Linked DNA regions of Mus musculus. The protein of the gene in region 3 interacts with the protein of the main gene of each other region in a pairwise test. Links are inferred from orthologs where the notes say so. Each region holds a gene or a part of one and is shown on either strand. Other genes may lie near its edges. The genes, in order: Ptpn18, Ptpn22 and Egfr.

Region 1 (10,511 bases), on a different chromosome or scaffold from region 3:
GAGTCAAGGAAAAAAAGCAGAAAGTGGACAGCACAGGACACCTGACATCCTCCTTTGATCTCTAAATATGTGCACACCACACAATGAATGCATACAAAATAGCAAGTGTGGCTGAACATAGGGAGAGACCAAAACCCCTAGCCAATAGAAGCCGAAAAGTTCTAGCCACTGTGGAAAAAAAAAAATTAAACAATTCTGCTGCAGATTTATATTCAAATAATTGAAAAAAAAAATAGACAGTTCTAGAGAGAGAGCTCAGCAATTAAGAGTGCCACACAACCATGAACACTGGAGCACAGATCCTAGCACCCATATAACAAGCTAGGCACCTTTGTATGCTTGTAGCCCCAGCTCAGCGGTGGGCAGAGACAGGAAGATCTCTGGGGCTTGCCAGCTTCTAGCCAAGCTGAGAAAATTCAAGGACTGAGTTCAGGGAGGACCCCTAAAGGAACAAAAGAGCCAGCAGAGTGTCACAAGTCTTTAAACCTAGCAATATAGCAGAAGCAGGGGGGGGGGGGCAGAAACAGGTGGATCTCTGTGAGTTCCAGGCCAGCCAAGGTGATATAGTGAGATGCACGAGACAGAGACACATATCCATAACCACACATGGACATGCATTGACTCACACAAATGAAAACGAAAGCCAGAAGCAAACATAAACTGTTTTATCAGTGTGTGCCAACCGTGGTCTAAAAGGGAGAGCAGCCCAACTGTCTATCAGCAGATGAATGGGTACAGGAAACACGACACAAAGCCATGGCATATTCAGTCTTACAATGAATGACATTCTGGTGCACATGACATCATGGACAGACCTTAAAACCATCAAGGGAAAGGAACCAGAAACAGAAGGACACATATTTTATAATCCCATTTACACGGTGCGGCTAGGACAGGCAACAATAGGGACAGAAGACAGGTGGCCAGGACCAGGGGAGGAGGAGGAGTTTATGCTGTGTGTGTGTGTGTGTGTGTGTGTGTGTGTGTGTGTGTGTGTGTGTTGGGTGCCCAAGGAGGCCAGAAGAGGGCATCAGATCCCTTTGGGGCTGGAGTTATAGGTAATTATAAGCTACTTGATGTAGGTACTACCTAGGAGTTCAGGTCCTCTACAGAGTAACAAGTGCTCTTAACCTCCAGACATCTTTCAGTCCCTTACATGGCGATTTTTATGTTTACATATATTTTACCACAAGGTTTACAAGACCCAGTTAGAGACTCCCTTATATTTCCAACAATGGCTATAATGGGGGTAGGGGGGGCAGGGAACAGGGGTAACAGGCAGAATGGCTCATGGGTAAAGACACTTGTTGCCAAGTCAATCCCAGGGACCCACATGGATGAAAGAGACATCCACTTCCCAAATTTGTCTCTGACCTCTGCCCCATTCCACGGCACACATGTGCACACATGCGCATGCCCCTATACACAGTAAGTAAAAGGTTTTCAAAATGAGAAGGAATCAGAACTGTTGGCGAGGATGTAAGGAAACTGGAGTTGTGTACTGTGGATGGAAAAGTAACCTGACACAGCTACTCTGGAAAATGGCCTGTCACTTCCTTAAACTAGAGTTAAAATTAGAGTTCCTCTATGAGCCAGCAGTTCCACCTAGTGCAAACTCTAAGTTCATGTCCACACAAAGGCTTGCATACGAAAGTTCACAGCGGTGTGATTCAGAGAAGCAATCCAGCATCTACAAACTGCTTAGAGGAGGAGTGAGATGTAGGTGCGTTCAAGGTGCTATTCAGCAATCAAAAGAAGTACACTAGGGCCATGCTTCTGGATGCAAGAACCGAGAACACAAAGAGGAAGACGCCAGTCGTGGAAGGCACGTGCCACACAATTCCATTTCATGTTAAACATGCCGAGTAGGCAAATCTGCTGGCATCAAAAGGAGACTAGGGGACTAGGGGTTGCCTGTGACTTTAAACATGGGCTGGGACTGCTAACAGGGTGGTGAATGTGTGGATGGTCTCCCTGAGTTGCCCAGGCTGGCCTCAGGGGTTTTTTTGGTTTTGGTTTTGGTTTTGGTTTTTTTTTTTTTTGGCTTTTTTTTTTTTTTTTTTTTTTTTTTTTGGTTTTTCGAGACAGGGTTTCTTTGTATAGCCCTGGCTGTCCTGGAACTCACTTTGTAGACTAGGCTGGCCTCGAACTCAGAAATCTGCCTGCCTCTGCCTCCCGAGTGCTGGGATTAAAGGCGTGCACCACCACCGCCCGGCAGCCTCAAAGTTTTGATGCTCTTACTTTGGCCTCCTAAGAACCTGAAGTACACACTGGGAGCTGGCATGCCTGGCTAAACGGGAGAATTGTATCCCGGTAAGAAGATAGTCAAAGGTAAAAATAATAGCTTGTGGAGGGTCGTCATACTACTGTGATGTGCATTTCCCCTTTTAGAATTATCCCATGTGTTGAGGTAGACAAGAACTATGAAGGAAAATGGTAAGACACAGGAAAGAGTTAGAGGTGGGCATGTGGGGGTGTGACACCACGTGAAGGTCCAGGTAACAGAATGGGCAATGGTAAAACCCATGGCAGAGGACATCCCCAAACAGAGCCTGTAGAGGGGAGTATAAGAAGCAGGCAAGGGTATAAAGAGACCAGGGTGGAGACTCTTCAGTACATGATGTGGGCTGATCGGGCTGCCAGTACTGTGGGGACAACCCCATGATCAAAAGGAAAAAGATCAAGGCAAAATTAGGACCAGTGGCTTTTGCAGAGCTGCAGTGGAGTCAGGCAGGGACTGGACTCTGGTTCTAGGGACAAGAAGGAGACTCCGCGCCTCCTCTCCTCCCTGCACAAGCCTTCTTTGCATTCTAGGAGGCTGAGGATACATACCCGTCCATTTTCTGTCTCTTGACAGGCCATCAGGATTACCTAGACAAAAGGTAAGGAAGACGGAGGCCACTGAGTAAGGAGAAATCGGAAGGACAGGGACTCAGAACCATGCCCCTCTCTCTCTGTCCCGCAAAGCTGACCTTGACCCCAAACTCCCAAACCAGGCGCCAGAAGTCCAACAGTGTGTGAGGCAGGGGTCCTTGCGTCGCAATGTAGGCCTGGCTTCCATCTATGCCCTAGGAAAGGCCCATTCATTAACGAGATGCTGAAGCCTGTCCCAACCCACCCCAAAGCCACCCCTCCCCTGATCACTAGCCTGACCCGGATGAAGTTGGCATTGATGTAATCTCCATGTCCCTCCTCTTGGAGCAGGGAAAGGATGACTCTTGTCTCATCATCTGGGAGAGGGTGGGACATGTGGAGGGGTGGGTGTCAAGTCACTGACGCCCTCCCAGGCAAAAGCAAGCGGGGTGACAGCACACTAGTGGAGCTCTGCCCCCTTGTGGCTTCAGGGAGTAATGCAGCTACCTCAAGCACAAGCAATAGCATGCTTTGGGGAGTGGCGGGGGGCGGGGTTTGAGGGGAGGGAGGAAGAGTGGGAGGGGCTGGCTGTGGGTGGGTGCGGCCAAATGGGCACTGCCACCCAGCATTTGTGCAAGTGGCACTGATTCCCTCAAGATACCCACTGACTTACATGCTACCACATCTTTGTAGCGGTTCTTGTTCGTGTTCCCAAGCCGACTGCCGGCTTTAGTGGAACACACACCTTCAGACTTCCAGGCCACTGAGCGGGCCTTAATGTCCTAGTGGAAAGCACCATGAGCAGAAAGAACAGAGTGAGACCCAGCCGTACTAGCATCTGTGTAATAATATCTAGGACAGCAGGTGAAAGTCAGGCCCAGTGCTAGGGGATTTAGACATCCCAAGTGGGGGGCTATCCACTCTCCCCATTGTGCAGATGAACGTTGATGTAGGTAGTGAGTGGTTGAGTAACTTGCCAAAGGTCCCTCAAGGAGGTACCCCAATAAAGATTGAATCCAGACCTCTCAGATCTGCACATTCAATCATGTTATAATGTACTATAAATCATAATAAAATATGCATCATTTAGACCCAAAAGATAGTTCGGTGCATATAATAAGCACTTTCTGCACAGGCCTGAAGATTTTCTACTCAATCCCTATATCCCCACACCATAAGGAGACCTGACACCAGAAAATTGTCCTCTGACTGTACATAGGTGCTGTGGCATGAACAAGACCCCCACCCCCAAAACAAATTAAACTGGGGCCAGGGAGATGCATCAGTGGGTAGAGGTGTTTGCCACCAAGCCAGATAACCTGACTTTCACCCCAAGGTAAGATAGAAGGGTAAAAGTAGCTCTCATGGTTGTCCAGTTCCCCCAGAACATGTGTGCACACATATAATTTAAACAAGTTCAAAGTCATCCTTGGCTACATATTCAATTCAAGACCGGCCTGAACCTGTCTCAAGACCCTGTCTCAAAAAAATAATAGGGCTTAGAAAAGATGGCTAAGTGGTTAGGAGTGCTTTCTGCTCTTATAGAGAACCAAGTTTGGTTCCTGGCACTAGCACTGGCCAGATCACAAGTGCTGGTACCTCCAGCTTCAGGGATTCAATAGCCTTTTCTAGTCTCCAAGAGTATCTATATACACACATGCATACATACATATATAGCTACATGCGCCAAATAAAAATTAAAAATACTTTAAACAAGGTACAGCATGACAATATGCTATAGATATGAGGTATAACATGTAGGAAGATGCTATAGGTGCTTTATAGCTGTTGCATTATTATAACTGGTGAAGAGTACCGCTCTTATCGGGTGCTCATATTTGCAATGACTGGCATTGTGTTTGGGCCACCATTCCAAAGTGGTTTACTTATGTTGGTCAGGTTTTTCCAGCCCCCAGAGACACCTTCTTCCTGTTTATGCATATCTTCTTGCTTATAAAATGTATACTTTATGCTAGTAGTTCTTCTGTTACAGCATTTACATATGAAAATTATCTAGACTCACATTTAACCTGTCCATATGCTTGTGTGTATATTTACTTACTAACTTAATACATTTGGTTTGGGTTTTTTGTTTGTTTGTTTGTTCGTTTGCTTGCTTTTTGGGTTTTTTGGTTTGGTTTGGTTTTAGGTTTGCGAGACAGGATTTCTCCGTGTAGCCCTGGCTGTCCTGGAACTCACTCTGTAGACCAGGCTGGCCTTGAACTCAAGAGATTCACCTGGCTCTGCTTCCCAAGTGCTGAAATCAAAGGTGTGTGCCATCATCACCCTGCTATAAATTTGGTTCTTATTAATGTTTGTTGTATCTGTTGTGGTGTTTGGTTGCTTTGTTGGGTTTTTGTTTGTTTGTTTTGCTTATTTAGTTAGTTGGGGTTATTTTTTTTGTTTGGTTGGTTTTTTTATTGTTTTAGAGACAAGGTCTTCCTACATATCCCTGGCTGTCCTGGAGTTCACTGTGTAGACCAGACTGACCTCAGACTTACAGTAACCTTCCTTTCCCTGCCTCCAAGTGCTAGGATTAAAGGCATGCACCACCACCAGAGTTTCACTGTTACTGGTTTACATATTGGCCTGTGTAAACTATCTTTTTCATTCTTTGAAACAATCTCCAGAGTATTCCAGAGTGGTCACAAAATTATGTAATTCAGGCTGGCCTTGAACTCATGGTTATCCCCCGGTTTTAGGCTACCAACTGCTAGAATTACAGGCATGTGCCACCATGCCAGGCTGTAAGTGATCATTTAATGTCACACTTATTTTTATATCATTGTCATTTACATTTCTAAGTTTGAGATAGTGTATTACGTATTTGGATCATGTCACTCTATTTAAAATACGTCATTACATGTTGTGTGCCATGGCTGTTGAGTGGCAGTAGCTCTCACAAGCTTGATTGGCCCGAGGTAACGTTTACAACCTTTGTAAACCATGTTAAAGGCAGGTGCATACAGTTAATATAGCCAGTGAATACCCAACGCGTGCTAGGTGCATCTACCCAAACCACCTAATTTTCAAACCGGCTTGTCTTTTATCATTCACAATTCAAAACAGGTGAAAATGAAGTCAGAGCTCCCAGGGCCACAGTTCTGAAAAGCCCTAGGATAGACTGGTAACGCGAAACCTAGGCTAGGCTACAAGTTTCCTCGTTCCTCTTTCTGCTGCCCCAAACCACTTCCTCCCTGGGATTACAAGGTGACCCAGGAGTGGCCCGGGTTGGGGACTCGAGTCCAGCGCAGGTGTGTTGCCTCCCTCCACGGCGGAAGCCACGGCCCCGCTAGGGAGAAGATTGCACCGGGAGCTCGACACCGACACCTGAGTGTGTCTGGCTCCTCCTAAACAGTAGCCGTCTTCACCCTCTGGGCACCTGTGGGCAAAGTGCGGAAGGCTGGGAGAGTCAGGGTGAGAGAAGTGCGGGAAGAGGAAAGCCGAGAGCAGGAGGGAGGAGACGCCCCGGGAGCTGAGAGGAAAAGGCAGAGCTTTCATATTGCACAGGTGGACAGCCGTGGGGAGCGCCTGGCTGCGAAGCTTGATGGCTGGAGTGTCACTCACGCTGAACTCACGAGCGAGGATTGCCCCCTCCCGGTAGTCCCGGGCCTCCAGCTGCTCCAAGAAGCTCCTCACCAAGTCCGTATGGCGACTCATGCTGCGACCCGCTCTGAGGTCTCCCACAAGGAGTGATCCGACTCCGAGAATTTAGCCACTGCGAGGTGGGGCCTCCATTCCAGCAGCCAATGAAGACCGGTAATTGGCAGGCTCCTCGGCCAATGGCACTAGGAGTTCACTCCGTTCGTCCCGCCCATAGGTGCTGGCTGCCACCGCAGCCGAACTGGCCGTCCAAGTAGCTGCGGGTCCCGCAATTCCCCACTGGCGCCTCGGGTGCTTCGGCTGCCGTGAAGCTGGTGGAGTCCGCACGGAACGCTCAGTCCCATTGGCCTTTCCAGGGGGATGGCTGCGCTCTCAATCTCGCAGGCCGGGTTCCCAAGGTTGCTCCGGAGTCCTGCGAGCGCTGAGGTTCACAGTCGTGCGACAGCGGAATATGAGAGAGGTCGGGGACTTCGAATAAATATATTCCCTGCACTTTGCTCTGGGAAAAGGCCTATTTCTGAGGGTAGGGGGTGTGATTTCACTTTTGGAACCTGCTGGAAAAGCGGGGACACCAGGATTCAGTCCTAACTTGTGGATCTTAACCCATACCCCTCAGGGAGGAAGAGACTAGAGAGGCATTGGGAGGAAAAGTGGTCTCAACACTCACTCCGTCCCCCTTCAGGAGTTTGAAGAAGATCTTATGCTGAAGCTCCTGGGGTCCTGGAGACTAAAGACTGGAGAAGAGCCGTGCTAAGGTTTGTAGCTGAATTGGTAGAGTGCCTGTCCCAGCATTCACAAGGTGGAGGCAAGAAAATCAGAAAGTCAAGGTCACCCTAGCTTACATTGTGAATTCAAAGTTAGCTTGTGATGAAATCCTGTCTCAAAGTTAAAAAAAAAAATGGAAGAAAGGAAGGAAGGAAGGAAGGGAGAGAGAGAGAGAGAGAGAGAGAGAGAGAAAGGAAAATGTTTTAATGATGGTGGAATGGTTCAGTAGGTAAATGCCTTGCCACTAAATAAACATGACAACCTGGATTTGATACCTAGGACCCACATGGTGGAAGGAGAAAATCGACTCCAGAGTGTTGTCCTTGGACAACTACACAGGCTCTATAGTGAGGGTGTATCTCCCTACACACAAAAGAAAATAAAAGGGGGTTCTTTCCAAAACAGGCTTCAGCAGATGGAGTAGCACCACCTGCAAGGGAACCAAAGAATTTCAAGCATTGCCAACTCTCTGTTGAGGGAGGGCTCTGAGGAGATCCGTTTGGGGTCGTGTGCAAAAGTAGGGCTAAGGCGAATTGAAAGTGCTTTAAGCATGCTGAGCGGAGCGGTGGTGGCACACGCCTTTAACCCCAGCACTTGGGAGGCAGAAGCAGGTGGATTTCTGAGTTCGAGGGCAGCCTGGTCCACAGAGTGAGTTCCAGGACACCCAGGGCTATACAGAGAAATCCTGTCTCGAAAAACCAAAAAAAGAAGTGCTTTAAGTCACTGGAAGATGAGTGGGATCATTGGTAAAAGGCTGTCAACTTGGTCATCACAGTGTTTAAATGAAGGAATGGATAGCATCTTTAAAAGCCAGACAAGACTTTATTGGGTTTTATCGCTAGATCTCTGTCTTACGTCACTGTGGGTCTGCCAGTGGTGGCAATGCAAAACAGCCAGATAGTATGAGGGTGATAGTATGAAAACTTTTTCACTGAAATGGGGAAGATGGCAGTAAGATGGCTCAACAGGTAAAGGTCTTGCAGCCACACCTATTAATAAGTGCTGCATCCCCTGACACACATGGTAGAAGGAAAAAAAATCACTTCCATACAGTGTCCTCTGACCTCCTTATGCCTTGTGCAGAAGCACTCAAGTAAATGTAATTTTTTTAAAAAATGCTAGGAGGGCTGGAGTGATGGCTCAGCAGTTAAAAGCACTGACTGCTCTTCCAGAGGACTGAGGTTTGAGTCCCAGCACCCACACAATGGCTTGCAAACACCAGAAACTTGAGTTCCAGGGGACCCAATGCCCTCTTTTGGCCTCCACAGCACCAGGCTTGCACATTGCGCAGATATACTGGCAGATACATAAAAATAAATTCTTTCTTTCTCTGAGACAGGGTTTCTTTGTGTAGCCTTGGCTGACCTAGAACTAGTTCTGTAGATCAGACTGGCTTTTAAGTCACAGAGATCCACCTGTCTCTCTACCTTGAGAGTGCTGGGATTAAAGGCATGTGCCACCACCAACCAGCCAAATAGAATTTTTAAAAGTTTTAGAAACCACATTGACACCAATCATTGGATTTTTGTCGCAATTTTTTTTAAATGTGGTTTGCAGACGCTAGTTTGCTGGACCTCGCTTAAATATTGGGAGGTGAGAGTAATATCGAACTGGTTCAAGTACTGAGGGTGAGTGAAGTGTTCAGCCCTAAAAGGGACGTCTGTATCCACTCTCCGAAGTCAGGGAACGCTGCAGAGGGTTGGGAGTGCCATGAAACATTGTCTCCTGGATGTGACCTAGCAGTTGCAGGTGTGAGCTCCTAACACTGGGCCCACCCAAGTTCCATCATCATTAAGTTGGGCACAGGGGGCCTCATGCTTCCCTGAGAAGCTATAGACAGTTAATAGCTATGAAAGGGAGGCATACTCCTTAGTGCTACACCCACTGGTAGGTTTCCCTCATTCCGATAAATGACCCCCCCCCCTGCCTGCTCAACCTACTCAGGCAAGCTCAGTTAAATGCAATGGGGCAAACACACACCAAAGACATGAAAGTAGGAGAGGAGCTTGTGAAGAGGGCGATCTGCAGGAAGAGGAATGAGGCTAGAGAATGAGAGGAATATAGTCAAAATACATTATGTATATGTATATATATGTGTATATATGAAGAAATAAATTGTTTTGAGCTTTCAAAAGTGGGGGAACTCTAACCTACTTATTATAAGTTCTTGGGGAGTCACTGTTCACACCTGTGTGTTCTAAGGGGGTGAGCAGGAATGACTGAGGGTGGACAGTAATTGCTGAGTTCATTGGAGGTCAGTGAATGTTACTAACAGCATTTGGGGAGTCAGCATCCTCAGGAGCAGGGTGAAGGGCAATAAAGTCCTGAGTGGCTGTGGGGACTTAGAGTATTGGTTCCCAAAGAAGCAAAAGATGGCCATGAATAAATGCCAGAGGGATTGTGAATGCCTGGTGGATGGGCTGGGAGGGGTTGATGGCGACCCAGGGAGGTGGTACACAGAAGGTCTGTGATCTGTGTGACAATGGTGGAGTCTGAAGAAGCTGAATCTCTGAGATGACCAATGGCAGTCATCTTAAGCCAGGAGCCTCCGGAGCAGATGGAAGGGTGTCACCAAGAGATCGTGGCAGGCCCCTATGGAGCAGCAGCAGATGCCACTGGTGGGCAGTGGTCACTGGAGACCATTCCAGTACCCAGGAGCAGCGGCAGCTCTGAGAGGTCAAGGGGTCAGCTATGGTAATATGCAGGGGACAGGAGAGCTGAGCAGTGCCTGAGAAATCTCTACTTTGGTAGCTGGAGATCTGTCTAAGCCAGGGATGAAAACCTAGCTGGAGACCCAGTTGTGTCTGTTTCTCCAAAAGATGGAATCTTACTAAGGGGATCTTTCTCATAGGCTCAAGTTTGGCTAATAAGTAAATCTGCCCATATGAACGCTAAGTGGGTGGATGGGATGGGTCTCCACTGGGGTAATTTACTTAGTGGACATGGTCTGTCTTCTGTCGGCTGGGATTAACCTTAGTCAGCAAGGAAGGGGGTGGCTGTATTTCTCTGGGACCACTGATCTGTCTAAATGTCTATCTTCTTATCTGACCCCAAATATATCCAACTGTCTGGCAGTCCATATGGGAGTCTGTTTTTTCAGGATTCCCGCCTGTCTATCTGTGATGGCTAATATTGGTTATCATCTTGACACACCTGAAGAAGAGGGAACCTTACATGAAGAATTGCCTCTGTTCCATCAGACTGGCCTGTGGGCATGAATGTATGTATAGATGTATATTTTAAATTGCTAACTGATGTTGGCGCTTGTGGGTGGTGCTACCCCAGGTAAG
Region 2 (10,511 bases), on a different chromosome or scaffold from region 3:
AACACTTACTTCAGTAAAGGCTTATTGGTATGCCCAAGTGACAGGCTCGTTCTCATGAGCTGTTTCAGTTCAACAAATGTTTGAATTCTTGCTATGCAGGGGATGCTGTGCTTATAACCATTTGTTTAGAATCATTGCTGTAAATACACATAGAACCAAGACGTGTCCTGGTGTCTATGATAGATGAAATCTGCAGAAGCTATGATAATGTCAGCACGTTCTAGTTACATTAGCACTTGAATGCAGCCATTAGAGATGGGCTTCTACCATTCGAGCTCAATGGGTCCTTTATATTTAATAAATATGTCTGAATAAACAGTTTTAGGAGTTATTTTTTAACTACAAAAAAAGTATAGACTTTAAAATAAAAGTTAATACATTTGACAAAAGCTTGGAATGTACAAAGAATGACTAGGCTGTGGGTGTAGCTGAGTACCTGAGTAGTAGAACCTCTGTCTAGCAAAGGCAAGGCTCTGGATTAGACAATCTGTGTAATAAAGATAGATTCACAGCCAAACCAGGACGCCCAAGCCTGAGGTCTAGCTACCTGGGGACCTGAGACAGGAGGATGGCAAGGTCTCCCTGGGCAACTTAGTGATAGTCTGTCTCAAAATTAAAAAAAAGAAAAAAAGAAAAGAAAAAAAAAGAAATTATGAAGGAAGGAAGGAAAAAAAGAAAGGGAAGAGAGGGGAAGGGAAGGGAAAGGAGAAGGGAGGGAGGGCAAGCTAGGCTAAAAGCCATAAAGAAACTACATTTTGAGGCCAGCAAGGCTAAAAACCACTGTGGTGATTCAAAATGGGTGTTGCCAGCTGTGTTGGTTAGTTTTTGTCAACTTAATACAAGTAAAGTTATCTGGGAAGAGGAGATCTTAACTGAGAAAACACCTCATCAGATCGGCCTGTAGGCAAATCCGAAAGGCATTTTTTTTTTTTTTTGATTAATGATTGATTCAAAAGGTCCCAAGTGCATTATGGGCAACGCTACTCCTGGGCCGGTGATCCTGAGCACACCACAAGAGCGAGCGAGCAAGCAGTGTCCTCCCTGGCCTGTCTCAGTTCTTGCCTTGAATTCCTGACCTGCCTTCCCTGAATGATGATTGCAACATGGAAGTTTAATCTAGGTAACCCCTTTCCTCCCCAGGTTGGTTTGGTCAGTGTTTTATTATAGAGGCAGGGCAGCCTAATTAGAACAGCCGGTGACTACTCGACATCTTTCAATACTCTTTCTATGATCACTACAAGAATCACATCTATGGAACTTTGACAGAATTCACAACAACGACTAGAAAAAACCTGAGATCCAGCTACAAGCTTATTCTCAGCCTGGTGTACACTGTACATGAGATGCCTGGATTCTCTCTCTGCCTCTCTCTGTCTCTCTGTCTCTGTCTCTCTGTCTCTCTCTCTCTCTCACACACACACACGCACACGTGCACAGGTGCGCCCCCACTGCACAGAGAGCCCCTGGGTGTTCTTCCTAATAATAATACCCTGACCTCCTACCTCTACAAAAAGATAGAAGCCAACACTATCAGAACAGTTTGGGTTTTTTTTTTTTTCTGCATTGCTTTATTTATTATACTAAACAGGAGTTTTAAAATCTGTTTTTTGAACTATATGCAGACGAAATTGTGTCAAGTGTCTTGTGTCTTATTTGCAAAGCTAATCAATTTTGTTGCTTGTAGCTGGATCTCAGGTTTTTTTCTGACATACACGTTTTTAAAAATATAAAAAGAAGGAAGGGTCTGGAAAGATGGCTCAGTAGATGGCTCTCTTGCTGTGTTTGCTGAGGTCCCACTTGCTGTGTTTGCTGAGGTCCCAGAGTCAGTTCTCAGCATCCACCCAGTGGCTCACAACCCCCTGTAACACCAGTTCCCAGGGATCCAACTCCATCTTCTGGCTTCCACAGGCACTGGGCAGGCACTAAATGCATAATATATAAATGCCGGCAAAACAACACATATACACACACCAAATACAAATCTTTCTTTAAAGGAGCAGGGTGTGCTTGATGGTACACGCCTTTACTTCTGTTACATAGGAGGCAGACAGACTTCTGAGAGTCTGAGGCCACCCTGGTCTACATAGTGAATCCCAGTGCAGTGAGAGCTGCATAACGAAACAACAATAAAAACTTAACAACGACAAAGAAGTCAGGACTGAAATCTGAGTTAAGGAACCTTTTGGTTTTGTTTCTTGGTTTGTTTGTTTGTTTGTTTTGTGGGGGGAGTTGTTGCACAGAAAATCTACATTTAAGTATAAATGCTGTATCATACTAGCCACTAAGGCTGCTAGCAGTGCCTTTACGTCATAAAGTTCATTCTGAAATCTCACAAACATCAAGAACTTCAGGTGGACTGTGGGCAGAAGTCAAGTGGAAACCTTCCAGTTGGATGGCAGTATTTCCCTGGGCCAACAGCTCCTCTCCCAAAGCTATTTTTCTGGTGTCTCAGTTGAACCTTTAGGTGGGGCTGAGGGTGAAACTCTTGTTTTTCCACTGGAGGACGTGAGTCAGTGAACAGTGAGGTTCCACTTAATCACCACCCAAAAGAAGGTTCTTAAGTATAAGGAGCCAGAAGGGCAAGGAGATGATTAATATAAACCCAGGACAGTGATTTACCCGGGTGGGATGGGGTGGAGGAATGGGGTGGGGTGGGGTGGGGTGGGTGGGTGGAGAGGCCAGTTGTGGAAGGGACAGTAGGGAATCTCTCCAAGTTAGACAGTGCTATATTTTTTGATCTGTGCAGTAACCGCATTAGCACTGGTTCCTTTATAACTATATTCACATGTTTTGTGTAGTTTTTCTAAATATATATTTTAGTTCACAATTATAAGCAGCTAACAAAATACAAGCTATAAAAAAGTTCTTAAGCTGAGAAAAATATGACCAGATTTATGTAATTAAAAGAGCACTTTGGAGCCTGGCATGGTGGTGTACACCATTGTACACCTTTCATCTCAGCACTCAGGAAACAGAAGGTGGATCTCTGAGTTCAAGGCTAGTCTCGTCTATACAGTGAGTTCCAGCCCAGCTATGGCTACATAGTGAGTCCTTGTCTAAGAAAATTAAGGTGGGACAAGGCTAGAAACAGAGAAAGCAGTCAGGAGGTGGCAGCCAGTTTGGTAAGAGACTATAACGACCTCTACGAGTGGTTAAAATATTAGAGATATAGTCTGCTCTGTTTTGAAAAATACAACCCAAGTAAGACAAAGATGTCACTACCTCTCAGCTCACGTCCCCTCTATATCTTAATAAATTGCCTTAAGAATGTCTCAGTGATACAGTCAAAAGGCATGCTTGGATCTAAGTAGACACATAGGCAACTCTACCCTGTGCCTAAACTACCCTGAGAACTTGTGGCAGAAAGAAAATATTTAAGTGACACCATAAGCTGGCATAATATCTTAGCCTCAAAGTTGGGCCACTATATACTAGCCTGCTGTGCTATCTAATAGTGATATCTGTTCAGTGAAAACATCATGGATAGTTTTCTCTTCTAATATCTGGTGCCAGAACGCTAGTTCTGGAAGGCAAAGACATTTTGTTTACTATTGTATCTTAGTGTGAAGAAACAAAGTTGGTACATAGTAAGTGCTCCTAAATGATCCCTTTTCTGAGACACGGTCCCTCTCAGTCGCCTGGGCGAGCCTTGAACTCAAGATTTAACCCACCTCAGCCTTCCAAGTAACTGGGTCTCTGGGTGCCTCCAAAACACCTTGTTCTCATTTAATTATTATAATTAATGATATAATCATCACAATAATCCAAAATGAGATAGATAGGACATAAATTATTATCCTCATTTTTTTAACCTAGAAAACAAAGAGTTAGGGTGATTTGGGAACACGTTAAATATTTGATAATTTGAATGATGACCATGTCGATGTTCTTTATTTTTCTCAATTCAAAGCTGAAGGGCTAAGGCTTAACATTCTTACAGTTCTGAAATACCAATTAGAAGCTTTTAGAACACAGCAGGTTGGTGTGGTCGTACATGCCTTTGATCCCAGTGAGGCAGAGGCAGGAGGATCTTTTAAGTTCAAGGCCAAACCTGATCTACATAGTGAGCTCTAGGCCAGACAGAGCTACATACTGATACAAACAAACAAACAAACAAACAAACACTAAGCAAAAACCAAAAGCATGACAGGTGTGTCAAATACCATGTTATCTGATGTGCCTGACAGGGATGGAAAATGGGCCGCCCAGCTTTTGTTACACTGTTAACTATGGCTCCCTCTAAGTGGATTTGAGTTCTGGATAATCAAGTCCACCTGCTCCCAGGCTACCTTGCTCTCCATGTCTCTCACGTGTCTCTACTCCCCACTCTCCCTAGCCCACTTCTCCAGACAATATAAGTTAAAGAAGCCCAGCTATTGTTAAAAAGGAAAATGCCTATTCTAATAATCAACTTGTTTTCAAAGGGATAGGAGAAAAAGTGGCAAAATGAGAGTTTTTGGTGTTTTTCAAACCCCTGTTATCCCAATGATAGCCTATAGGGAAGCTAAAAATAACACGTAACATGAAAAGCTACTCTTATTAGTAATCTGAAGCATATGTCACAATGCAAATGCTTTCTGCAGATGTTCAGAAAGCATTAATATCCATACACCTGTCTATACCTTCTGTAGGACCATTAAGCTCAAAAGAACAAGCAAACCCAACATTAAAACCAGCCTACCTGGAGAAAACCCTGAGCACAGACACAACAAAGCCCAGAGAGGTTATGTTCTTAGGTCGCCTTCCTCCCTTCCACTCCAAACTCCATGGTCGTGTTATCCCTACAGCAATTGCGTCTAGGCAAACTGGGCCACCACAGACTGCTACACAGTTTATCTAAGAACTCTTCAGAGCATTCCAGAACTCACCAGAAATTCACTGGCAAACTCCTCACTGTTGAGTTTCTTTTTCTGGGCTTCTTTCAGTAGTTGCTGCAGAATTTCTCTTTGGTCCATGCCGCAGAGCAAGAGTCTGTGAGTAGGTTAAGGGAGGGCATGTCAAATATGTGTCATGGCCAAGGCAGCACCAAGAAGCCACTGCTGCTGCAGGAGCACAGCGTGCTGGAGGCTGTGGTTTACTGACTTCATCACAAGCCCTAGAGGAAATTAGTACAAAACTAGCTTCTGTGGTCACACAACAAAGCCATCATCTCCCTGCAGGGCCCTAGCGCCTTCCTTTCTCAACAAAGAAACTTGGCTACTGTTCAAATGTAACAAACAAGAGGCTAACCAGAACACAAACTGTGGTCTGCTTAGCTCAGAGACTGTTCCACGCTGTCAGTCTCAGACAGCACTCAGTTCTTCCATTCCCAGAAGAAAGGCAGAAAGTACAGCACTAACCTGTGAGTTCAGCTTTTCACATCCCAGTGAGCAGAAAGGCCTGGGTGACGCCCACCTATGCCCTGCTGCAGGAGAGGAGACAAACACTGGAGTTACCTATCTCCGACCCGGACCATTATCCCCAAAGTCTCCTATAGATATGATCATGGCAGACCTCTGCTCATCAAGCGGGCATTTTGTTTCAGAATTTGTCAAGCTTCCATTATAAACCTCACGTTTTTCTTTTAGAGGAAGCAAAGTCCACTGCTTCTGATGGTCCATCTCACCCGTGACTGGGGAAGTACTGGCCCTCATTAAGGGAAGTGTTGGTCTCTGTACTTCTTCAGACCTCCAGTAGCTTTGCAAACACTGAGAGTACAGCTCTACACAGGATGGGAAGCACCGGGGAGGCAGTTAGCACAATATCCCCAGAACGCACTGCTAGCAAACAGCGAAAGGACAAAACGGAACTAAAGCTAAAATATTGCTTGCTGAGAACCATACAGATTCTATCTAGGTCAGCCTGTCTGGAGAGAATTGAGGAGAGGTGGTGCAGTCCCAGCTCCTCAGGACTGTCCCCAGCTGCAAGATCACTTGAGTCTCAGAGTTTGAGACACCTGAGAAACAAAGTGAGCGCTCTCTCTCTCTCTCTCTCTCTCTCTCTCAGAAGGGGAGGGAGGAAGAATGAAAGAGGCTGAAGAATTCATGAAGACATGTTGACATTTTGATCCTACAGAGCCTATCTCAGAAAAGATCGCGTTTCAGGGAGCCGTCCACATCTGTGGTATCAGTGCCTTAACAAGGCAGGTTATTCCAGAGAATGCTTCCACATCTCCGTTTGCATAAATCCTCTCTTCGATGGGCACAAATCCACTCAAGATCTAATTCAGTGTGAAAACCCTTGCAAATGAGGAAGTTCAGTAAACAGAATGTTACAAAATTAGTTTCAAGTTAAAAAAAAAAACTGGGAAAGGTGTAGTTTGGACTTCCTCTATTAAGATATTAGCAACCCTTTCTGGTTTTACACTATTCAAACTCCCTTCAGAAAATCATGATTTTGAACACAAAACACGCTGCACCCTCTTCATTGAACCCTTGGCAGGCAATTTGAAGTTAGTATTTCACATAAAGAATTTCAAATGTAGTTCACACAAATTAAAATGAACCATAATTCTTCAGCAATATTTCCTGAGACTAAAACAAATCTCTGAGATTATCCTTGTCTAGCAACAACAGGAAATTTCTTGCTACTCTAAATGATGCAATATTTGACTATTTTAAAACATACAAAATATGGGGAAGCTTTATTTTTAAAAAGAATACAACATTCTTCAGGGTATAATGGAATATACTTGTAACACTAGCACTGAGGAGGCTCAGATAGGAGAATGGTTACAAAGTGCAGGCCTATCTGAACTATATATAGCAAGACACTGTCTCAAAAGTTAAATACTTTAAAAATCCTAAGTTAACTATAAATAAAATTATATGAAAATATGAAATTTAAGCCAGACTCAGAAAGGCAAGTATTACATGTTTTTTCCCCTTAAACAGAGAATCTAGATTTAAGTGTGTGTGTGTGTGTGTGTGTGTGTGTGTGTGTGTGTGTGTGTGTGTGTAGGCCATAAAAATAGAAAGAGGAACATTATTATCATACATTAGTCACACATAATGGATTACATGACATTTTCATATTGTAGTTAATGCATTCCGATTACACTACGCATTCAGTCTTACCCTCTCTTCTCTTCACACCTAACCCCTCTCCTCTTGCCAACCATCTCCTGCCTCCCACTTTCATGTCTTTTTTAGTTTTCAATCCCAGTGAGCTTCATTAGGGTAGTTTAGGGGAGCATGCATAGCTTACCAGAGTCTCACACTGAAGATGACTTCTCTCCCTTCCCTGCCAACCATTACCGGCATAGAGATCTTCAGGCTGGGGTGGGACTCCATGAATCCCTTACCCTCCGCGACAGAGTGTTGAGTTGACACAAACTCAAGTTTGTGTGGATCCTCTACGAGTGGCACAGCTTCCATGAGCTCAAGAGTGTAACACCCAAGTCCCACTTAGAGATTAGCATTCCCCACCTCTTCAACCGCCTTCGCCTGCCTTTACACTGGAAAGATAGGCCTTTAAATCCTGGCACTCAGGAGACAGAGGCAGGCAGATTTCTGTGAGTTTTAAGACCAGCCTGATCTACACAGTAAAATTCTGTCTCAAAACAAAAGAAAAGTTAAAAGAAAAAGTTAATAAATAATCTCTCTCTGTCCCTTCTCTGGGAGTGCTCCCTGGGTTTTGGGGTGGGGAGGGGTGATGTAGGTGTCCCATTTATTCCTGAGCACTCACCAGTGGTTTATTCTCAGAACTCTGACCAGAGTTGTCTCTGCAGTCACTGCCTATCACTGCAGACAGTACGTTCTCTGACCAAAACTGAAAGCACCACTACTCTATAGACAGAAAGTTATCTAGAAGGCAGTTAGACAGGCGCATCACGTCCGCTTTGCAAAACGACAGCAGTGGATGCCCTATAAGGGCCTATGACCTCCCAGCCAGAGGTTTTGGTTGTTGTTGCTGCTGTTGTTTTGTTTTGTTTTTCTTTTCCCCCAGCCAGAGCATTTAACCAGATTTATAGTACCATGTAGATGGCAAGGGCATCAAATCCACTCAGAAAGCTGCTGGTTATCTGCTGAAGAGACCTGCTGCCATTGCCCCAGGGCTCATATTGCCAGTAGGCGTTATTGTATAGATGTCCACAGCTAAATAACAATGTTGGTGACCAGCCTCCCCAGCAGCCTGCAGAGCACCAGTTAGCCACCAGAAAGGAAGCTTCTTAGCACCAGCTTGATTTCAGTATGTCTTGCAACCGAAGCATATGTCACCTTTGGCAGCAAGATCTTAGTTCTGATGGAAACCCAGAAACATTGACAATTGCTTGTAGTGTGTGTGTGTGTGTGCTTTCTATCTAACAACAGAGGTAGGCAATTCCTATCTCTGACATTGGGATTTTCATCTAATAACCTATGGTTATTAATCTTGTTGGTGTTAAGGCATTTTATTTAATTTTATATAAATGGATGTTTTGCCTACATGTGTATGTCTATATGTATACCATATGCATACCTGGTACCCAGGGAAGCCAGAGATGGCATTGAAATGACATTGAATCTCCTGGAACAGGAATTACAGATGGGCTGGGCAGTGGTGATACATGCCTTTAATCCCAGCATGAGGTAGAGGCAGGCAGATCTCTGTGAGTTCAAGGCCAGCCTGGTCTACATAGTGAGTTCTAGGACAGCAAGGGACACAATGAAACCCTGTCCTGAAAACAAACAAACAAACAAGAATCCCAGATGGGTGGAGGGAATTGAGTCTCCTGCTGCTGAGTCACCTCCTTAGCAAATATTCTGAGACTTTCTGTTGGTTCTCTTCTCCCCTCCCTTCCCCCACCTCCCTACCCTTCCCAACCCCTGCTTAAGTGGTCCCACACCCACTTCATGCATTCTGCTCCTTAGTACATCTCAGATTGTCTTTTCACCTTCACATGGTCACTGTCTAGTCTCCTGGACTCTTAAACACTCACTCCCACTTAAGTAATAATTAAAAGCTGCCATCCACATATGAGAGAGAATATGTGATATTTGTCTTTCTGAGTCTGAATTGCCTCACTTAATACAATACTTCCCAGTTCCATTTTCCTGCAAATTACACCATTTCATTTTCCTTTGCAGCCGAATGAAACTCCAGGTGTAGATGTGCTACATTTTCATTACCCATTCATCAGCTGATAGCATCTAGGGTGGTCTCATTTCCTTGCTATTGTGGATACAGTAGCATTAAACATGGACGTGCAAATGTTTGTGTGGCAGCTTAGCAGGCAGGATATGCAGTCTTCTAGACACATGACCAGGAGCAGTAGAGCTGGGTCACAAACCAGTTCTGTTTTTTAATATTTTGAAAAACCTCTACACTGATTTCCACAATGACTACACCAATTCACAGGCCAACCCACAGTGGGCACCTCTCTCTTCCCCACATCCCTGCCAACGCTTGTTCTCTGGACCACAGACATTCGAACTGGGGTGAGACAGAACTGCAAAGTAGTTTTACTTTACATTTTCTTGATGCCTAAAGATGCTGAACATGTTTTAAAATATTTACTGTCCACTCGGATGTCTTTTGAGAACACAAGTTTCCTTAGTCCATTTTTTGACTGGGTTATTGTTTCATTGTTGTTTGGTGTTTTAAGTTCTTTGTGTCTTGTGGATTTTATATCTTCTGCCTGATAAAGAGTTCTCTCATTCTATAGGCTACCACTTCACTCAGTTAACTGTTTCCTTTGTTGTACAGAAGTTTTTAATCACATGACGTCTTGTTTATTGATTGTTGGTTTTATTTCCTGGAAAACTAGAGTCCTATTCAGAAATACTTTACCTATGCATATATCTTTCTAAAACTTCGTATTTATTATTATTGTATGTGTCGTGGTGTGTGTGTGTGCGCGCATGGGTATGAATGCCACATTAGGGATGTGGAGGTCAGAGAACATCTTTTATGGACTTGGGCTTCTCTTGGGGTCACACTCAGGTCACCAGGTTTGTGTGAGAAAGAACCTTTACCACCACGCTGTCCCACCAGTCTCCTGTGCCTGTATCTTGAGGTGTTTTTCTTATTTTCTGATCATCTCAGAGTTTCAGGTCTTATGTATCGTACTGCTTTCCAACTCCCAAGACAACTTTTCTCCCTTCTCAGTGACCCCATCTAAGTACCTGTGCTCTCTCCACACTCCCACATAAATTTACATATTAGAGTTAAAAGCTGAAACCCACATATGAGAGAGAACCCATGCTATTTGTCTATCTGAGTTTGAAACACCTCACATAATACAAGGTCTTTGACTCGTTTGAAGCTGATTTTTGTGTCAGTTGAGAGCTAACAATCTGGTCTCATTTGTCTACAAGTAGGTATCCGATTTTCCCTGCACTGGCTGGGAATGTGCATGTATCGGTGCCTTTGTAAGCATTCGGGTGGCTACTGCTGTTTGCGGTTATGCCGAGAGCCTCTATTTGACTCCATTAGTCTGTGTGTCTGTCTGTGTGCCAGTATCACATGTTTTGCTTTGTTTAGTTTAGTATGGCTCTGCTGATACCTCCAGCAAGATGCTTTCTGCTGCGGACCGACTGACTGCTTGGGAT
Region 3 (10,411 bases):
GTGTGTGTGTGTGTGTGTGTGTGTGTGTGTGTCTCAGAATCCTATTTGTTGGAGTCAGTTCTCTCCTTCCTCCATGTGAGTCCTGGGAATAGAACTCAGGATGCCAGGCTTGGTAACAATGTTCTCTCAGCTCAGCCATCTCACTTGCCCTTGATAAATTGTTAACACTATCAATATTGTTCAAAAGCCTCAAGTCTTATTTTTCTCTCAAGACTCAAAGACATCTTTTAACTATTGGCTTCTGTGCAATCAAAAAGTAATCACAAACTTCCAACATGCAATGGCACATAGTAGATGTTCCCATGTCAACAAGTAGAATCAGGGCACAGCAAAGAAAGACGAAGACTAAAGTAAAACAAACTCAGCAGAACTACCCAAGAATTACCCATGTCTTCATAATTCTGTGCTGCCAGGTCTGCCCCTTGCAGTGTGGAAAAGCTACTCCTTTAGCCTGCTCTGTGCCACGCCTGCGGTCTTCCTTAGCAGGCATTCCACCGTGCTGACATCTCTAAAATCCTAGAGTGCCCATTGCCACTCAAGCTTCATCTTTACAGTCTCACGTAGCCTCCATTCACAACTCCAAGCCTGCCAAACACCACCTGGCTTGCCTGGCCTTCTGTAATCTTGGCACAGGCTTCCATGCCCCCTTCAATCCTGTATCTTTCACGTGTATAAAACCAGCACCCCATGGATGAGGCTGCCCATTGGAGTGGCCAGCTAAAGATGTAGCCTGGCCTCTAGAAGCAGGAAATATCTTCAGCAGAATTCTCAGTTTTGGCTCTCTTCTTTCAAATGAATGTACATTTGCATAAGATGTACCTTTTGGGAGATGGGGTCTTGCCTTCAGAGCACCTTTTTCCTATTGTCTCAGTGTGATTATACAAGGTTTCTCTTTAATAGTGCTAATATCTTTACAGTTACAATTGCTTCCTCAGCACCTGGCTTACATGCACCTTTAAATTTTCTCCTTTGCCCATCAAACTGCATATTTTCCTATCTCTCTGTCCACTTTCCTCTCCAGGACTCTGTAGTCCTGGATAAGAACCACGAGCAGGAGACTGAATGCTATTCTTTCTGTTTTGAGATATCCTCCACCAATCAAATTGGGTCATTGCTTTCTAGTGACTTATGTTCTCAGGACATGGGCAGATACAGCCAGATTCATTATCATCATGTACCACAAATGGCCTTTAGCTCACTTTCGAACAGTGTCCTGATTCTCCTCTGAGACCTAACGGATCTGGTTTTTACTGTTCATATTTCTCTCAGCATTATGATCTTCCAAACTCCCACCAGGATGGCTTAGAAAATTCTGGGGCTTTCTCAGACAAAGTTCCGAACTTCTCTACATTCCTCCCACAAGCTAGCCCCAAAGGGCTAAGAGCCACATCCTCAAATTCGTCAAAGCCAAGGCTCCTCTGTTTGGCATCCATTTTCTTTACTGCTTTTCTCGTTATTGCAACCAAATACTGGACATGAGCAACTTAAGGAGGGACGGGTTCATTTTGATTTACAGTTAAGGAAGGGGTTCAATCAATCATGACAGGAAAAGCATGCCAACAGAAGTACGAAGAAACAGATGATCTCATTGCAATTATAGGAAGCAGAGAATACACACTAAGTGGAGTCCTCGAGCCTGCCTTCCTCCAGGAAAGATCCACCTTCCAAGGGTCTTACAACCATTCCAAACAGCACAGTTAGCTAGGGACTCAGTGTCCAGACCCATGAGCCTATGAAGGACATTTCACGTTGAAACCCCACAAGGCAAATTCACCCTATGAGATGAGAACATTCTGGAAACAATTCTGATGCTAGCGTTACAATTAGGAATATGCAGATTTTAATTCAATGAAGGAATGAGCAAAAGCAATTAGAATGTTTGGTGAAAACCTCTTCAGTATGTCTTCCAAAACTAAGTTACCTCCGGGAACTATCTGTGCAGGTGAGAGGGGACCAGCTACTTACTGCAGTCTTTCTCAGCTCTGTTGTTCATGATTTTGGTTTTCTGATTGGGTGTCCCGAAGAGTTTTTTCCAGTTTATTGTGTTTGCGTAGCACAAATTTCGGTTTCCAGAAATGATCACATCCCCATCACTGATCTCCTTGAGGGAACGCAGCCCCAGTGATGTGATGTTCAGGCCAACGACCGCCAAAGAAAACTGACCACTAAATGGGAGAGAAGAAAATTGCACTGTTGTGTGATAGCGAAAGCAATGGGCCATCCTCAAATTCAGTTTTTCTGGGCCACTTATGTTTCCTGAATCCTGTGTTCCAGTTATTACTAATCATTCTGCGAAAAGTATGAATCACAACGTTTTAAAAAATGCAAGGGTTTTTTTATAGATTTCTTCAAAGAAAAGACAGTTTCTCATTTGCTTTTTATCTTTAAACTTGGATAAACAGGAGGAGTTAATCAGAGGATTCATGTCATTTCATTTGCTATATTTATAGTTTTCCTAGAAATCAAGAACATGCTTTCTAGCATCTGGCAACATCAAAATGTACTTAAGGTAAATATGAATATCTGTCCATCTGCCTACCACTCAGCTGCCCAGTCATGTTTATTGAGTGAATATCTGTGGTTCCATTTGCAAATACCACACAGGTTAAATATTTGTCTCTTTTACTTAGGGACTCTGTCTAAAGGTGATATAATCACACCGGCAGAGGTTTTTTTTGAGTCCATAGAAATAAATGCAGCGTTAGTGAGGACTGGGTCAGCCATGGGTGAACACTGAAGGAGAGCCATGGAGGAAGAGCATGGAAGGGTGATGTTCAAGTCATGATACCTCATATTTGATTAAATAAGATTCTGCAGATATGTGTCTGGATGAAACTTAGTCAGATAAGAGAGAATGGAGTCCCAAATCACAGGACTCTGCAGGATGTGTGCACTTGGCGAGGGCAGGGAGACAGACTCAGGATCATGGTTGAGGTCAGAGCTCAAATGTATGCCCCTGCTAGGCACAATTTGTCACATGTGACTGATGGAAATGCACATAGAAGCGGTGTGCATTTGTAGGCATCTTCTTGACACTAGCCTCAGGAATGAGCCAGCTGAGCCAGGACAAAAGAAGAGAATGGAAGCTATGGGGTTAAATATCAAAGTTTAAAGTAGTATTTGGCAGACCCTCTTCCTAGTCATGCTTATTCTCATTTCCCCCTTCATGAATTATCTTTCCCCACAGCCTGTTTTCAGGGAAGTGAGGGGTCTGGGTAGGAGATCCACAACCATCACTTACTGGGAATTCTCCCCCAGCGTATGTCCAGAAAAGCCAAGGAGTCAGGGTCTGGCTGGGGTCTTTCCTGCAGGTCAAGTCCCAGCTTTCTGTGAGTCATGTCAGGAACTAGTGGTTATCCCATAGCTTAAATGCTTAAAATTAAGGCTAAGTCTCTTGTGCAGTCGCTTGAAACACGGTGCTAACCTCAGAACGAGAGCATTCCTGAGAATTTAAGAGGAAAGGCAGGAAGCAAAAGCAGTGGCATGCTTAGTATCAGAAGTGCCTATTTAAAGGAGTTTATGGGCAGCAATGTATATTCTGTGTGTATGTGCTTTGACTTGTTAAATATTCCACAATATTAGTGGGATTAGTGATGTTAGTGGTGGTAAATGTCAGAAAAAGCTATCATAATTAGAAAGTTTCCAAGACAGATTTGAGCTACAGATTTCCAGATTTCTTTTCCTCACCACAAATCTTAGGATTTCTCTTACTCTAGGAAAGCTCTTCACCTGTCTCCCATCTTCTCTGTCTCCCTGGTGTGACAAGTTATGTGTCTTCAACTGCCTCATTATCAAATATTAACCAAACACAAACAAGGAGATGCCCTATAAAACACCCAGTCATATTTTCCCAGAGTGTCAAGACAACAAAAATCAGCAAAGATATAGGAGCTGGGAAAGTTTGAAGGGAACTAGGAAGACATCAGACATTAATGCAGTGTGGGATCCTGGAGAGGACAGAAAAGAATGGATGCATTCGTGGAAAATCTGGTAAACTCAGAATGAAGTACATGGTCCAGGGAAGAACATGGCACCTTGTCAAATTATTTATCTTAACTTTCATATCTACTCACATAAGTTGCTCACATTAGGGGAAGCCGAGTAGAAGATCGGTCTTTGTCCTATTTCTGTTTCTTTTGACAATCTTGGGGAAAAAATTCTACTAGGCTTTTGTTATGGCCAACTTACTGTTGCTTTGTTCTGCCACGTATTATTTCTAGGTTCTCGAAAGCATGGAGGTCAGTCCAGTTATCAGGCCAAGCCTGAATCAGCAAAAAGCCTAGAGGGAAGAAGAAAGGCTTAGACTCACACTGTTAGAAATTTCCTTGTTGTAGGAAGCGTGTTCTAGGACTCAGATAAGGCTGCTGTATGGACCGTGGCAGTGGATTCTTCCTGTTCCTATCACCAAGGATGATAGTGCATGTCCTCACACAGGTCCAGGTGATATATATATCATACATACATACATACACACACACACACACACACACACATATATATATTTCATATATATATATATATATTTCATATATATATATATATATATATATATATATATATATATATATATATATATGAAAGAATCCTGTCCTTTCTATGCAACCTAGAGTCCCTGGCTGCCCTTCCCTCAATGCGTAGGCCAACTCCCACCTGAGCAGGTGACAAGTGCTCTGGCTCTGACATCCATAAGGAATATCAGATTATACACCTGGATCCTTTTCTGACTCTTCTCCAGTCTCTTGTTACCATGGTCTCCTTTTAAATATTTTTTTCCATTTAACTCTGATCCTCATATTAATCCTGTTTTTCAGATCAAATTATCTCCCCTTCATAGATGACGAAAATGGCATGCTGGTGGCAGTCATAGACCCAAGACTCCCTGGTGGACAATCTTTTGAAATCTAGTTTGTGAAACTCGAGAGCCTGCACTGCCTGTTAGCGTCAACCTTGTATCTTTTCCTCCATCTTCTCTCTGGGGGTTTTGGGGTCTGTAAGGACGATGGACAGTCTAAGCAGGAAAGAACCGCTCCATGTGTCCACATCAAGTCCAGCATGATTGCAGCAGCCGTGGCTTAAAGTGCTTTCAATTTGCATCAAGGGAAACTGGTTTTTAAAAATGTCTCGAAGAATTACTCATAATGGATAAGCTGCAGACACCACATTCTCATGTCAGGGAAGAAAGGGAAATGTCTGGGAGTCGCTATAAAATTTAATTTCCCATATATGCTCCTGCACACCCGAGTACAAACCTGTTATTTCCTTTACGGTTTTTAGAATTTCTAGTTCTCGTGGGTCTAGAGGAGGAGTGCGCGTGAAAGAATCCCTGAAACAGACAGCAACGTGATTATTGGACACTCTCCGTGGCTTAAAGCAGATTCTACAGTTCTTCATCCAGATGGCTCAGCTGTTACTCACCCCTTAAAGGCCACTGGCAGGATGTGAAGGTCCCCGCTGATGGCAGTGCAGTATTTGAAGTGTTTGATGTTTGTAGCATTTATGGAGAGTGTGTCTTTAAATTCACCAATGCCTATGCCATTACAAACTGTTAAGAGAGATGTGAATTAAGAATGTGAATTAAGAAGGCTGGGTCTGCACAAGCGGAAGCAAGAACCCTGCTACCGTGCACTATTGATTCATCCCAACAACCCTGAGGGGACCCTCCAGGTGCCAGGACTCCTGTGACAGGCTTCGCTGTTCCCTTCAGTCACTGGAGTGGCACTTGGGCTGTCCTTGTCACAGACCTCTGTCAGATTTGAATGTTCTGGCTGTACTGAATCTAGTCACTCACAAAGACATTGGCTCCGCCTCTCTCTGGCTACAACAGTTCACCCACCTGGGCTGCAGGTGGCGCCTCTGTACCTGGTTCAAGAGAACTCCCCCACCTCCACCATGCAATTTGGCTTTGCAAGTTTACCTTCTACTTTCCAGACAAAATAAATATATTTTTTTAAAAAAAGATTAAAAGGTGGGTTTATTTGGAGGTGGCCATAAGAGTTCGGCACAAAGATCAAGAAAAAAACCCTACTGCTTACCTTTGCGACAGGGCCCATCACATTTTTTACACTTGCGGATGCCATCTTCTTCCACTTCGTAGTAGTCAGGCCCACAGGCTCGGACACATGAGCCATGATCTGTCACCACGTAGTTTCCTGAGGAAGAGGCAATGAAAAGAAGGTGTTGAAGGCTACAGCAGGTGCTCCTAACCTTCCACAAACATCCTCATGTCCTGCTGTGTATGGGCTGCTAAAAAGGTCCCTCTTAGTTTGGTTGACTTCTCTTTGAGGAGAAAGACTGACAGATTTCAAGTAGAAGAGGAACCAAGCTCTAGTCTAATGGCTTTTCTGACAGTAATGTGGACAAACACAGATACTTGATCTCAGGTGCAAAACAGCTATGAGAGGAAACACCACCATGCGTGTTCACTGGCTGAAAGCCCCTTGCTGAATATGAATTTCCTCTGACAGGTCTATGCTTAGAATATACAAGGAAACCTAAGATATGTAGTACACACACACTAATGCTTATCAGACAGACCATGTCCCATTGAGGTAACTACAGTTTCTTCTGTTTGATACCAGCTTTGCCCTTCCCCACCCATCCACCATGCAGTTCTTGGTGGGACAACGAGGGGACCAGTTTGTTCTGCTTCCTAGACAGGCGCCCCAATCTTTCTCTCCACTCCCTTCACCTTTATGTAGTCTAACCTAATTAATATTTATGATTACAGTATTACTAGAAACTCTATGCTCCTATTTTGAGTTTCTGAAATACATGCTCAAAATGTGGGCATTGGTACTATATCTGTGAGTCATATGCTCTTGTCATCATAGGTTTTGTTTCCTGCAGAGTTTAAAGATCTGTTACTAAGCCTTCACACAAAGATTCTATCTATGGCATGACTGTCATGAGTTTTTCTTCATCTTAGTTTTCCATTTACCTTATTCTCTAGCTCTCCCTCTTCCTCCCCCTCTCCCTCCCCCTCTCCCTCCCCCTCTCTCTCCCTCTCCCTCTTCCTCCCCTCCCCTCTCTGTGTGTGTTTTCTAATGGGACTTCAATCACCTAAATCTAGGTAGGCAAAATCTCACCCTTATAGTTTCCACTTTACATTTTTTTTTGTCTTAATTTACTTTCTAGAAGTCAAGATTGGTTTTAAGGCTCTTTATGAGTTGTTTCACTTTCTCTGTTTGGGACCGATCTATGTTGCCATTTTCCTATAGGTACCATAGAGTACCATCATACATGAATAAAACTTGAACCCAAATGAGTAAATCAAAGCAAACCCAAAACCAAAATACTCCAAGAGCCCAGCCATAGCCCTAAATTCTTCTCCTCAAGGGGGTGGGTCTGCTGCCTTTTCTAATTTAGGTCTGTTTAATGCAGAGTCAAACAATGCAGAGTCAAACAAAGGTTGTCCCAGAGGGTCACGACCTTGTGTTAGTCAGCTCCAAGACACTCCAGGTTACTGAAGCTTCCTCTCTGACTTGGGGTGAAGCGATAGGTGGTTTGTACTATACAGTCTGGCTGCCAGCAACACTGGATCAGTGCAGGTCAAGCCACCCTTTAAAGGAAGGCATCCTGACTGCTGCAGGCTGCCTCTGCCTCCATTGCTCAGCACTGAGTGGGGTTCTCATCCTTGCACCTGTCCAGGCAGACACTAGCCTACAGGACAACAAGGCAAGCACAGTGGCTGCCTCCAAACTGCCCAGGACTCTAGCATAAGACAGAAGAGGAAATGAGGACTGTTGGGTGAAAGGGCAAACTCACGGGGGCACTTCTTCACACAGGTGGCACCAAAGCTGTACTTCCCTTCAGGGTTGACATCCATCTGATAGGTGGTGGGGTTGTACAGCATGAGTGGTGGGCAGGTGTCTTTGCATGTGGCCTCATCTTGGAACTTTTGGCAGACCTGTCATAGGAGGGACAACATGTCTGGTCAAGGATGTGGCATCCAAATGAAAGGAACCCAGTGCCAGGCAGCCTGCAGGTCAGTGGGACAGTGACAGTTTTCGGTGTTTTACATGCTCAATTAGAGAGGAAAAATGTCTAGTAAGCCTTTCCAGGATAGTCAGAAACACCTTCCTCTTATGAGTACTAAGTATACATTTTTAAGTATACTGACTGTCTCAATTGATACAGCCTAGGGTTTGTGGTTAAAAAAAAGGTAATAATGAAATCTACACATGATATTGGAAAGTATGCTGTAACTATTTTTAAACTCAGTTTTTACTGGGTTTCTTTCATAAAGAACACTATAAGAATATATTTTATAATTTATGGACAAACTGCAGAAATCTTAGCAAGAAGATTCCATGTAGAGAGCTGTTGGATCTTTCTAAGAACTCCATTTGTAGTTTTATCCCCGGGCTGCCCATTTGAATCAGACCAGACTACCCAGGTGAAAAAAAAAAAAGATGCCTGGAGCTAGGTTTAGTTTATAGAATTTAAGAATCTTCTGTTCCAGAATGATAGAATACTCTAGACTCTACCTTTAGGTGGACTTCCTTTTCTGGAGCCTAATGGAGTTTGCTTGGGTTGGCAAGGACCCCAGGAATCACATTCACTAACCCCTGACAGCTGCAAAGTTAACACTAGAGCTTTCACCAGAGGTAGAGGGTCTGAGGGGAGACACTGTGGGATGGGGTAGGATTAGGAGGGGAGCAGCCCAAGAGGCATGAAAATATGGTGTGCACATGCCATACTGCCCAAAGGTCTGGGTAACTGGGATGGTTCTCAGGGGGTCTTACAGAAGAAGAGCTCCCTTCATTTCTCATAATGTTGCTACTGTTGTCCATGACAACACTTAATTAAAATGTGCACCACATGAAGGCTGCTGTCACAGTCAGATGTCGAGCACGTGCACAGCTCTGCAGCACAACTCCCCAGTAGCCAGAGTCTTACCAGACAGTCACTCTCTCGGGGCCCTGTACACCCCGCAGCACATTGGTTGTGGCAGCAGTCACTGGGGGACCTGCCACGACAGCGATGGGAACATTGCTGGGCACAGATGATTTTGGTCACTGAAAAAGAAAGATTACCAGTGAGCTGTGTTTAAGTGGCAGCTCATCTTCTAGAGACACCAAGGAATGCTTGCACCCAGTAGAAAGAAATAAAGGAGGAACCATGGGTTTTGTGACAGGGAGCAGCTTCTAGGCTTTCACAGTCAGCCAAACAATATAATCACAACTTTCCCCTTGGTACATTTTTATCATTTATCTCAAATCACTTGGGAGAAATAATCGAAACAAGTCTGATCAGATCTTTTGAATAAGTAGATATTATCTAGGGAATTTCTGGCAATACAGAAGGCACATAGCAAGAAGAGCTCCTGGCAGGAGGCAGTGTTTAAAGGAACGAGATAGTTAGGTCACAAAGGCAATGAACTACAGTCAATTTTGAAGCTGACACACGCCCAGGTTCTTTGAGTGAAGCAGTAACCATGCTGAAGTAAATTAAACTTTGTTTTTTAAGTTAGTAGGATTCACACATGAACTCTGTGGAGCAACACCGTCAAACTTCTATATTAGTTGGCTCTGGAAAACGGGGAGGATTGGATCAGGGGACAAGGCATCCTGTGTGTCACCATGGACACTTGGGTGGTTGGCTTTCTTGCATTTAATGACAGGTTAAATTATCCCACGTAGTAAGCCTTAGATAGTTGTGCACTGTGATGTTTCCAAGACTGATGCTCATGAAGTGGTTAACTCTGAGTCTTTTGCCAAGCTCCTGTACTTGTTCAGTCACAAAGCGGAGGAGTGGAGGACCACATACTGTGTGGACTCCCTCACCAGGGCATGTTTCTCAGGCCCTGATGCTGCACTGACTTACATTTCTGGCAGTTCTCCTCTCCTCCTCCCCAGCAGCTTCCATTGGGACAGCTTGGATCACATTTGGGGCCTGAAATAAAAATCAAGTAGTTAAATGTGCATTTCAATAAAAGTAACAAATAACACGCAACTGACAACTCTCTCAAGGTCCTAAAGAATGTCCTAGAAATGAGGAACAGCTTGGAAACTTTGTATTCATAGTTGGGTTGGATGCTTTGTAAGCTAAATTAAAGGACTCCTGCACAAAAGAAAAAATGGTGAGCCTTGGGCTGCTTTTGCTTGTACTTCAGCTGTGGAAGCTGAGACAGAGGTTACTTACTGACTTGTCACAGCCACACAAATGACAAAGCTAATGAATTTAGGGTTTCGGAGGTGCCACCTGATTAGGCTTCTCTCTAACCAGATCCGCTCAATGTACACTTATGCACCTTGCTACATTCAGTCTTGACTGACTGTGTGGGGCAATCATCACTAGATATTTAGGATGTTATGTTGAGTCTGGTAAATGAACACTCCTTTCCTCCAAGCCATGAAGTGGTGCAGAACATGACACAGGAAGCGAACATTCTAATTCTGTGAGTCACTTG

The links.
Region 1: the proteins of Egfr (region 3) and Ptpn18 interact in a protein complementation assay, tested with the Homo sapiens proteins (3 studies listed by BioGRID and IntAct, with this or other methods). The link is inferred for Mus musculus from reciprocal best matches to the Homo sapiens genes EGFR and PTPN18.
Region 2: the proteins of Egfr (region 3) and Ptpn22 interact in binary tests that used the Homo sapiens proteins (3 or more experiments, as listed by UniProt). The link is inferred for Mus musculus from reciprocal best matches to the Homo sapiens genes EGFR and PTPN22.

Annotation. Positions count from the first base shown.
Region 1 is NC_000067.6:34,455,826-34,466,336, reverse strand, and holds the start of Ptpn18 (tyrosine-protein phosphatase non-receptor type 18), read right to left. Parts: upstream 6,592-10,511; 5' UTR 6,514-6,591; coding exon 6,421-6,513; exon of another isoform or gene 5,302-6,420; intron 3,636-5,301; coding exon 3,527-3,635; intron 3,231-3,526; coding exon 3,154-3,230; intron 3,069-3,153; coding exon 2,973-3,068; intron 2,872-2,972; coding exon 2,833-2,871; intron 1-2,832. UniProt on the Homo sapiens protein: Differentially dephosphorylate autophosphorylated tyrosine kinases which are known to be overexpressed in tumor tissues.
Region 2 is NC_000069.6:103,854,848-103,865,358, reverse strand, and holds the start of Ptpn22 (tyrosine-protein phosphatase non-receptor type 22), read right to left. Parts: upstream 5,083-10,511; 5' UTR 4,956-5,082; coding exon 4,869-4,955; intron 1-4,868. UniProt on the Homo sapiens protein: Acts as a negative regulator of T-cell receptor (TCR) signaling by direct dephosphorylation of the Src family kinases LCK and FYN, ITAMs of the TCRz/CD3 complex, as well as ZAP70, VAV, VCP and other key signaling molecules.
Region 3 is NC_000077.6:16,866,714-16,877,124, reverse strand, and holds part of Egfr (epidermal growth factor receptor isoform 1 precursor), read right to left. Parts: intron 9,895-10,411; coding exon 9,826-9,894; intron 9,018-9,825; coding exon 8,899-9,017; intron 7,907-8,898; coding exon 7,765-7,906; intron 6,150-7,764; coding exon 6,033-6,149; intron 5,543-6,032; coding exon 5,416-5,542; intron 5,324-5,415; coding exon 5,250-5,323; intron 4,280-5,249; coding exon 4,189-4,279; intron 2,166-4,188; coding exon 1,966-2,165; intron 1-1,965. UniProt on the Homo sapiens protein: Receptor tyrosine kinase binding ligands of the EGF family and activating several signaling cascades to convert extracellular cues into appropriate cellular responses.